Linked DNA regions of Oryctolagus cuniculus. The protein of the gene in region 1 interacts with the protein of each later gene in a biochemical or structural test. Links are inferred from orthologs where the notes say so. Each region holds a gene or a part of one and is shown in the gene's direction. Other genes may lie near its edges.

Region 1 (4,752 bases):
CATCCCATATAGGCAACAGTTCAAGACCTGGCTGCTCCACTTCCGATCCAGGTCTCTGCTGTGGCCTGGGAAAGCAGTGGAAGATGGCCCAAGTCCTTGGGCCCCTGCACCCATGTGGGAGGCCGGGAGGAAGCTCCTGGCTCCTGGCTTCGGATAGGCGCAGCTCCAGCCATTGTGCCCAACTGGGGAGTGAACCAACGGATGGAAGACCTCTCTCTCTCCTTTCTCTGTGTAACTCTTTCAAATAAATAAATAAATAAATAAATCTTTAAAAAGAAAAAAGAAAAATGGGCATTGACCCTTTGCAAGACTTCCTAGTCTATTGCTTTGCAGGCATAATAACCCCAGAATGTTCCTCAGCGTGTACTACTGTGTTTTTCTTTCGCCTGTATAGAGGTTTAAAGTTCTTCCATCTGTGAACCTCCTGTTCTGAACCAAGTCATGTTGAGGCAGGAAAAAAGCAAAAGAGGAGGCTGGAACGGGCGTCTTCAAGACGATCAGAGGGCCCCACTACTGGGTGGCAGGGCTGTCAATCTGTTCGTTACTCAGCGATGCTGAACCCCCAGACCGCTTATCTCTCCGGCCCCAGCTTACAGCCCGGTAGGAAATGGTGGAGAACGAGGGAGGGAGATTAGGACAAACTGGCCTCCTGCGGGGGCTATTTAGATTCAGGGTGCAAGTTGTGGGGGGTGGGGAGCGGACACAGGGACAACTCCCCCTACCTGCTAGGCACACACAGCTTGGGGGCAAGGTTACCCGCTGCAGGGGACAGAAAGGGCGAGCAGCCGCCTCCGAGTACCCCAAGCGCTATGATTATCACATTTTCCAGATGAGGAAATTGAGCAGAGCTGTTTCAGCAACTTGTTCAAGGTCACATGGGTAAGCCCGTAACCTCAGCTGGCTTATCTACAAAACAGCCTTAACAATGGGAACTACCTCCTAAAACTGTTTTGACAATGCCTTTCGCCATCACATTAATGAACGTTACTGTTACTTCCACTAAGACCGCTTCCACGCCAGGGCCCATTTTGCGGCAGAATATTAATAGCTAACATTCGGTGTTTCCTGTGTGCCACCGCGAGAACATTAACTTAGAAAGGCCTGACAACATTTATCACTCCCGTTGTGGCTACCAACTTCGCCCTCAGCCCATACACTAGCCCGCCTGTGCTACGTCATCACCGCGCGCCGCGCAGCAAACCGCGGGAAGACGGCAAAACACGCTTCCTTCCTAACTCCCTCGTTTTCTCGCTTGCTCTCCGAATCACCGCGCCGCACAGTTGGCGCCGGTCCGGAGGGTTCGTAAAGTGACTGGACAGAAACAGAGGGGACAGTGACCATAGCAGCCAGGGGCATGCACGGTGGGAGGGGCTTCGACGCGGGGAGGGACAAGGGTGAGCCAGAGCACCGCCTCAGAGCGCTGGCGCGCACTTTATACGCGCACAAACGGCTTGCGTTGCGTTCTGACGCGCCGGCCTGAAGTCACGTTGGCCCTCGCGAGGCGTGCGGCCCTGAGGCACCATCCCCGCTGTGGGCGGGACGTGGGCGGGCAGTAAGAGGGGGCAGGCCCAATGGAAACGAAAAGTTCCGGCACCCGCGGCCCCACAGGTCGTCGAGAAGTTGGCGGCGGCCGCAGAGGGCGGAGTTTGAGTAGTGGGCCGCGCCTAGAGAGCGGCTCTGGAAGAATTGGCCGGCATCGACAGCAAGGGCGGGAAGTAGGCGGAGGCCGGCGGGAGGCGGCTCGGGACTGGCTGAGGGGTTTTGGCGAAACGTTAGGGGTAGGGTTTAGGCGGGGGGGAAAGGAAGCGGCGGTGAGGAGCCGGGGTTTGTGGAAACGCTAGGGGCGTGATCTGGCGGAGGGGAAGGTACCGGGGCCGGCCCGAGGAGGGGTGGAGCCAAGTAATCGTTAAGGGTGGAGTCGAGGCCGGGGCTGGGTCTGGCTGAGAGAAAGGGTGGGTGATTATCCCGGGTGATAGGCCGGGAAAGGCAGGTTTGTGGAGGGCCGGGATCTGGGCGAGGCTTAGAGGAATGAAAGGGTTTAAGGGAGTGAGGCTTGGTAGAGTGAAAGGGGCGGTGATTGGCTAGGAAGGGCAGGCCTTAGCTCGAACTGATCCGAGGGGGTTCTAGGCTCAGTGAAACGACAAGACTGAGGAAAAGAAGAGTCGTGGAAAGGGGGCGGATCTGGTGGCACGGGCGGCACCCGGCGGTATAGACACCTCAGTGGCGGCAGAGGGCCTGGAGAGAGGCAGAGTTGAGAAGGCGGCGGGGAAGGAGATATTGTAAGGGAGCCGAGGCTAGGGGGCGGGGTCCTCAGGACACTCCGGCAGCCTCGCAGCCACGATCCCCACCCCCTCTCCCCTCCCAGAACCGCACCAGGGCCGAAATCTCCCCCACCATGTCCTCCACTGGCCCGGAGTCCACCACAGCCAGGTCCCGAAGGAGTAGGCACAACCCCCAGTCGTCCCCTCACGACTCCAGCGGCACCCCGGTGAGGCCCCAGACCTGCCCTGATGAGAGGGAGAGGGGGAGGGAGCAGCCATCCGTACGCTGGACTCTGACCCTTCTCTCTGATTGGCAGAAACGAAGTGTTAAGAAGGGCGCTTTACCTCGCTGCAGTCCCAACCTGCTAGAGATAAAGAAGAAAGGCAAAATGAAGAAGCTCAGCCAAGCAGCTGAAGAATACCTAATCACGGGGCTGCAAGAGCTGGTGAGAGGGGCCTGGCCGCGATTTAGCCTCCTGTGACAGTCTAAACCCCAAGGTTCCCCACCCTGGACAGCATGGGATATTCCCTCTGACTCAGGCCCCCAGATAGATCTGTGTCTCCCTCCCTCCTCTTTCCCCCCCGCTGCAGGATCTGGACTCTGAGGCCAAGACGCCGGCTGGCACTGGTTTGGTGTTCGATGATCAGCTCAATGAATTCCACTGCCTCTGGGATGACAGGTGAGGCGGGGTCCTCCAGGCAGTGCCCAAACAGGGGCAGATACACACACTTCGAGCCCCTTAGCAAGAACTAAGGCTTCTTTACACCAGCCTGGAGACTGGTAGCAGATGACTTAGGGAGGCAAGGCTCACGGGCGAAAGGGTTCTCTTTTAACCACCAGACATTTATGGAGTGCCTATTGTGTGCCTAGAGTTGACGAGAGAAATGTACCAAACAAGACAGGCAGGGGCCTTTCTCAGGAAGCTGATCAGTAAGTAGGAGGGTCAACCGTTAAGCTGCCAACAGTGGCTTGTGCGTTGTTTAATGAAGATGGACTTAAGACTAGGGGATCCAAGAGGGTTGGGTAGAGGACCCTAGACTAGCAAGAAGCCATCCTTGAGGAAGGGGCGTTTGTGCGAAACTGAAGAATCACACATCCTATTTACCCTGTGTTTCAAAAGGATCAACAACTTTTGACTTTGTGTCTGAGATATATTTAGTATTTGACCTCCCCTCACTACTTCCACTGATATCACCCACCTAGACTTGCAGAGTCCTCCTCATTGGTCCCCTGCTGCCAGCCTCATGCCTCATGTTCACACAGAAGCCTAAAAACATATGCATGCGTTGATGTTCTCTTTCTAAAAATACTTCAAGGACAGACCATTGCCCTCAAAGTAAAGTCCAAATTCTTCACTCTGGCCTCTGAAGTTGCATGTGACCCAGCTGCACATTACTTTTGCGACCTCATCAGCCAGTCCTCCCCCTCATTTGTTTCCCTTCAACATCACTCACACCAGTTCTCTCACAGCTCTTTCCAACATGCTAGGTACCCTCTGGCCTTGAATTTTGACTCTGGCTGAGCCCAGTTCTCCTCTCCCAGCCAGCTATCATATCTTAAGGAGACTTTCTTAAAGAAGGTTCTGCCTGCATGCTGCCCTGCCTCCCCCGCCCCCCATCTTAGATGTTTTCCTAGCCCGTGACATTGTTTGTTAATTATTATACTTAGGTGTTAACCAGATTAGTATCTATCTCCCCTGGCCCAACCTAACACTAATTCATGAGGGTGAAAGACTTTGTTAAGGGATATATATTTACCATCTGTTGAGCTAGAGATATAGCAGCAAACAAAACAAAAAAATCCTGCCTTCATGGGGGACCAGAGAAGAGAGTCAACGTATAAACCGAAGTGATTTCTGCCTAGTTTATTGTCCAGTTAACTTGAATGATCTTTTAAAAGTTGGCATTGTAAAAAAAACAACTTCCAAAAAGCTTTCTGACATAGAATTGAGACAATATTATCTTTATTCATGAGTTGGAAAGGAAAGAGGCTACGTGAAATAAATGTTCTGAGTGGGGCCATTAGGATGTCTTGCAGCTACGTGGTCAGTCAGTGCCACTGATATTGATCAGCCTGCATGTAGCAGGGCTCCCTTAATTGGATCTGAGGACTTGATCTTATTTTTAATCCTCTCAGCTTTCAATATATTGCCTAGAAGACTCAGTTACTACATGGTATGTGGTTGTTTAGGGGGAGAAATATAACTAGACAATTTGTCGGCTTTTCAGTTAAAAAAGACACAATTCATATGTTATGTCATCTTTTTATAATCACTGTTCCCATGTGCGGAACACTCTTCACTCTACTTGTGTGTCAAAAGAACCTTTAACATTAAAATAGATGACAAAACTCAGAAAACATCCATTATGAATTTGAAATACTTTCCAATAAAAGTAAGTGATAATAAAAATAATTTTTACTTGAGTCTAGTTTAATTTCTTAAAAGGACAGTGTTCAAACCAAAAGTAAATGCTACTGTATGTGAGAAAG
Region 2 (4,799 bases), on another chromosome or scaffold:
TGATGATTATTAAGCAATAAACAACCGTGGCTTGAGACACTGGCGGTGTTTGGCGATGAACTGGATCTGTTTTCCCAACAGGCCCTGCTCTTCCTTCTTTCCCTGAGTCCTTGGGCTGGAAGCGCTGCCGTGAGTGGTGGAATTTCTGACCAGAGAGGATGCTAAGCAGGTGCAGTGTCGAAGCATCAGCATTGGTGCACGGGATCATAAATGGGTCAGCCAAATGCAGGCTCCACTAATGGCCGGCCCACAGCCTCCACTCGTTAAAATGTAAATACAATCCCTATTATCCAGCATCACAATTAAAAGGTATTTGCAAAAAATCAAAGTGGTGGTCTGGATGATACACTCTCTCCAAGGTGGTTTATAGCTTCGAAAAGTTGTCTTTTTAAAAGTTTCTTGCAGGATTCGGCAATGAGCTCTCTTTCCTGGTGTCTTCACCTTGTGAAGTTGTTTTGTGAACTTAGTGAATCTGGCAAATAAAAACAATAATGAAATGCTGCGAGATGGTTGTTTGCTTTCTGTTTTAGTGTCTTCCAGGCAGACCTACTGAATATTCAGCGAGTGATTAGTTGGTACATTGCCACGTGTGTCCTTCGCATACCCATGCCAGCCACTCTTCCACAAGCACTCTCACTCGGTAATTTACAAATGTTCGGGCTGCACTCTGCACCTGCCACTATTGCAGTAATTAGCTTAGGATACAAAATGGTTTCTAAATTAAGGCTCTGGACTTGTAAAATCAAGAAAGCCTGGGAGCCGGTGAACTCGCAGGACAAATCTCCAGCGATCCCAGGTGGCGGGCACGCCTGAGGTCTGGAGCAGACGCCTCCACAACCCGTGGGCCACAAGTCCGTCAACGGCCGAGGGAGGGGGAGAGGGTCAGGGCCCCGAGGTTCAGGCTGCTCCTCTCTCTCCGGCCACCTGTGGGCAGCTTGAAGCTCTGGGGGCTGTGCCCGGGGGCGGGGGCTGGCGCTGCAGCCAGGTGCAACTGCGAACCGGCGCGGTTAGACGGGGAAGGGGGCTCCGGGAGGCTCAGAACCCCGATCCCGAAAAGGAGAAGCGGAGAGAGGAGGAGGAGGCCGGGCGAGCGGAGCGGAAGAAGAGGAGGAGAACGAGGAGGAAGGAGCGCCGGGAGGAGGAAGAGAGAGGGCAGCGAAGGGCCGGCCGGGCCCTCCCGGCTCCCTCGCGCGGGGCAGTCCTCCGCCGGCGGCCGCCGCCGTCTCGCCTGGGCTCCAGCGCCCCTGTCCCGCCCGCGCCGAGCAGCGCAGCCCCCGCGCGCGCGCGCCCCCGCTCCAGCCCGCGCGCGCCCGCGCCGCCGCTCCAGCCCGGGGAGCATGCGCAGTGGGCGGTGCCGCTCCGGGCCGCCTCGCCGCCGCGAGTAGGAAGCGCGAGCGCCGGGCGCCGGGCTGTCAGTGAGCGTGGGGCCAGCGAGCAAGCGAGCGAGCGAGCGAGAGAGAGCCAGCGAGCGGCTCCGGCTCCGCGCCGCGCCCGCTCGCCTCTCCCCGGCCGCCGCCGCCTCCAGCCCGCGCCCCGCGCCCGGGGTCGCCCCTCGCCCCGCCGCCCCTCCCCCGCCCGCCCCCGCCCACCCCGGCCCTCGCCGGCTGCCGCTCCCCGGCGGAGGCAAGAGGTGGTTGGGGGGGACCATGGCTGACGTTTTCCCGGCCAACGACTCCACGGCGTCTCAGGACGTGGCCAACCGCTTCGCCCGCAAAGGGGCGCTGAGGCAGAAGAACGTGCACGAGGTGAAAGACCACAAATTCATCGCGCGCTTCTTCAAGCAGCCCACCTTCTGCAGCCACTGCACCGACTTCATCTGGTAGGTGCGCGCCGGGCGCACGGGCGGCCGCCCTCGGGCAACTTGCAGAGCCGGCGGGAGTCCCAACTCTCGCCCGGGCCGGCTCGGCTCGCGCGCGCCGCTCTGCCGCGGGAGGGGGCCCGGGCCGGGGCCTCTCCCCTCGCCGGGGCGCACCCGGCCCGGCCGAGCCGGCCGCGGGCTGGCGGGAGGCAGAGGACCAGGGAGCCGGCGGCGGCGCGGAGTTCCCGGGCGCGCTCGGGGGCGTGTGTTTGTGCTGCCCTCGGCTGCCTGGCTCCCGGAGCCGGGCTCTGCTGGGCGCGCGGAGACTTTCTCTCCCTTGGGTGAGCCCGGGGTGGGGGAGAAACAGGAGAGCGAGCAAACTGTTGGAAGCTCGCGGTGGGGGGAGGGGGTCGAAGCGGAGCAGGCGAGTGGCAGGAGGGCAGAGGGAGTCTTTTTTTTTTTTTTTTTTTAAATAGACCCTGTCAACACGAGATTAGACCTGTAGCCCGGCGGAGGAGGACAGAGGCCTTGTTTAAGAAAAATACCCCGATGGCTAAAGGTGCCGGAGTGAGGTGACTTCCAAGAAACGCAGCCGCTGCTCGTTTGGGGCACCTGCGGGATCCATAGCTGGAAAGGGCACCATTGGTCTCAGGTCCTCGGCCTCCCCACCCCCGGGAAGTTCAGGGAGCGCGAGGTGAAGGGCCCGTCTTCCCCGGGTCCTACCCTCGGGGTCGCAGTGGTTGGTTCTGCCTCAGGACACCGGTGGGCAGTTCCAGGGCTGCGGCTGGGGTTCCCTAGTCCCCCCGCCCCCAGGTGCCCAGGGCGTGCCCTGGCACCAGCCAGCTCCCCTCCCAGGCACGCGTGTCCTGGGGGCTCCGGGGTGGGCGTTGCCTGGTTGGCTGCGTCTGACCCCATCACACCTGGGGGAAAAGGTGCTAACAGGCGAGCTCTCTGAAAGTGCTGCTAATGGGGTGTTTAGGCTTGACCTTTGCCTTTTCAGAAATCCGCTTAAAAATACAGGCTTTTTGGAAAAGTACAGCACCTCTATGAATGGTTTCCACCGAGTAGTCCGCATATGGAGGAGTTGAGCTCACAGGAGTAGGGAATCCTAGATAAGGCTGCTTAAAATAAGTTTCTGGAGCGCCCGGGCGCGTCTGCCCAGGCGGAGGGCTGCTGCCTGCAGGGTCAGCTGTGAGGTTGCGTAAAAGAGAAGGGACTGCCGGCGATTCCTTTTGCCCGAAGTGGGTAACTTGGAAGAGGGACGGTGGGGCTGGCAGGCTGACTAGTCTTTGCGCTGTGCTGCCCCGAAGGCTGGAGCGGATGCGGCACCGAGGTCTCCGGGTGTAGTGTGCCCTGGACAGGAAAGGGCTCCTCTCTGCCCGCCCTGGGTGCACCTGGCAGCGTCCACACCTAACAGGCAGCCCCGGGGAATACCAGGGAAAGGTTGGTTCTTGATTTTCAGTTTTCTTCCAGTATTGCTTCGGTGGGTCCTTGATTTTACTTCAGTATTACAGCACTGATATTTTAAGGCTAGATATTTGGATTTATGTGCAGTTTTCTTTTTTTTTTTGGGGGGGGGGGAAGAACTCCTAAGTTAAGTATGAAGGTATGTGAAGTGTTGTATACATTTCAAATGTTATGTAAAGCAAGAGATTACAACCGAGGACCTCCTGAGAATTTCAGTGCAGTTCGTTCCTAGGGGAACAATGTTTGCAACTGAGGAGTTTGTCCTTGCAGGGTAAATTGTTAAAAATTAGATCATGATAATCTGAGATGCAAACAGTAGGGATAATATTTCATAAAATCTGGTTCCACCAGCCAAAATTAAATGTTAAAAGTGGTGCTGTTGGTTAAAATATCATGTGTCTAGCGCTAGCCAAACTCCCATAAGCCACTCTTTAACTCTCTATAGGGAGAAAAACAATTCTCTGTTGGTCCCTAGGAACAAAATTCAGCCACTTCCTTTTCCGCTCTGTCTATAACCTCCTCTTGGTTACTTGATTATCCCTGTCATGTTCTTGTCTTGAAATTTAAGTGTCAGTAACAGAGTGAAAAGAACTGGAAAGAGGCTTGATGTGATGAGATGTTTCTTGGATCCCTTCTAGGTGAGAGAGACTTTTTTCCAAGTTGAATTTGTACCGTGATCTCGCCAGGTACTTGGACATGTCATTCCTAGCAGCTCCCCAGATAGGAGGTCCAAACCTTTAACTCTGTAGAACATTTTGTCCTATAGCTTGTTTAAAATGTGCTATGCCACACAGACTCTGTTAAGCTGTTTTATTCTTGTTTCTGTTTTTCAGGGGGTTTGGGAAGCAAGGCTTCCAGTGCCAAGGTAAGCTGTCTCACTGGATTTTATTTTCAAGTACAACATGAAGTAAGCACTGCAGACACGAAATGTGTTCCCGGCCATCCTTTGTGATGTAAAAAATAAATAAATAAATAAAATAACCTCTTGAAACACAAGGGCCCCAAGTTTGGGCCTTTTCTAAAAGTCAACCAGTATTGTCTAGTAATGGATATGGAGAGCTGCCTTTTACTCATTTTGAAAAATTCCTGTGATTTTATTTTTGCTGAGAACATTCTTGTCAGAAACTGCCGTCTTTGTGTGGGCGTTGAGGGGAAAAAAAGGAATCACTTTGTATTCATGTGACTTTTTTTTCTTGTTCCTCCTCTTTGTACTGTATCCCTTTTACCTCTGTGTTGGATTGGACTCACTGCACCTAATTTTGGGCCACACGTTACTCTAGTAAGGTTCTTGTGTTTTGTTTCCAGAGCAGAATTTGCGTGTCTCATGTGTATGCCAGTGATTCTTTGAGGAGCGATTGTTCCAGGGTGGCAGTGTGGCACACTCTGTTTTCGCCTTAAATATCTGACAACATACAGGATCCTGTATCGCATTCAGAAAGAGACCCATCGTTTCCCCCTCTGATCTGTAGTTGCATTTCACACACATGAGATATCTTTTCAAACTCTCATCCTGCTTTTTTAAAAACCATTTTAT

What was found. The genes of interacting proteins can lie anywhere in the genome.
Region 2: the proteins of HDAC6 (region 1) and PRKCA form a complex in vitro, tested with the Homo sapiens proteins (2 studies listed by BioGRID, with this or other methods). The link is inferred for Oryctolagus cuniculus from reciprocal best matches to the Homo sapiens genes HDAC6 and PRKCA.

What each region holds. Positions count from the first base shown.
Region 1 is NC_091453.1:33,986,265-33,991,016, forward strand, and holds the start of HDAC6 (histone deacetylase 6), read left to right. Parts: upstream 1-1,503; 5' UTR 1,504-1,571; coding exon 1,572-1,715; intron 1,716-1,737; exon of another isoform or gene 1,738-1,865; intron 1,866-1,877; exon of another isoform or gene 1,878-1,990; intron 1,991-2,067; exon of another isoform or gene 2,068-2,279; intron 2,280-2,365; coding exon 2,366-2,488; intron 2,489-2,578; coding exon 2,579-2,707; intron 2,708-2,852; coding exon 2,853-2,941; intron 2,942-4,752.
Region 2 is NC_091448.1:12,520,836-12,525,634, forward strand, and holds the start of PRKCA (protein kinase C alpha type), read left to right. Parts: upstream 1-1,416; 5' UTR 1,417-1,646; coding exon 1,647-1,819; intron 1,820-4,098; coding exon 4,099-4,130; intron 4,131-4,799. UniProt on the Homo sapiens protein: Calcium-activated, phospholipid- and diacylglycerol (DAG)-dependent serine/threonine-protein kinase that is involved in positive and negative regulation of cell proliferation, apoptosis, differentiation, migration and adhesion, tumorigenesis, cardiac hypertrophy, angiogenesis, platelet function and inflammation, by directly phosphorylating targets such as RAF1, BCL2, CSPG4, TNNT2/CTNT, or activating signaling cascade involving MAPK1/3 (ERK1/2) and RAP1GAP.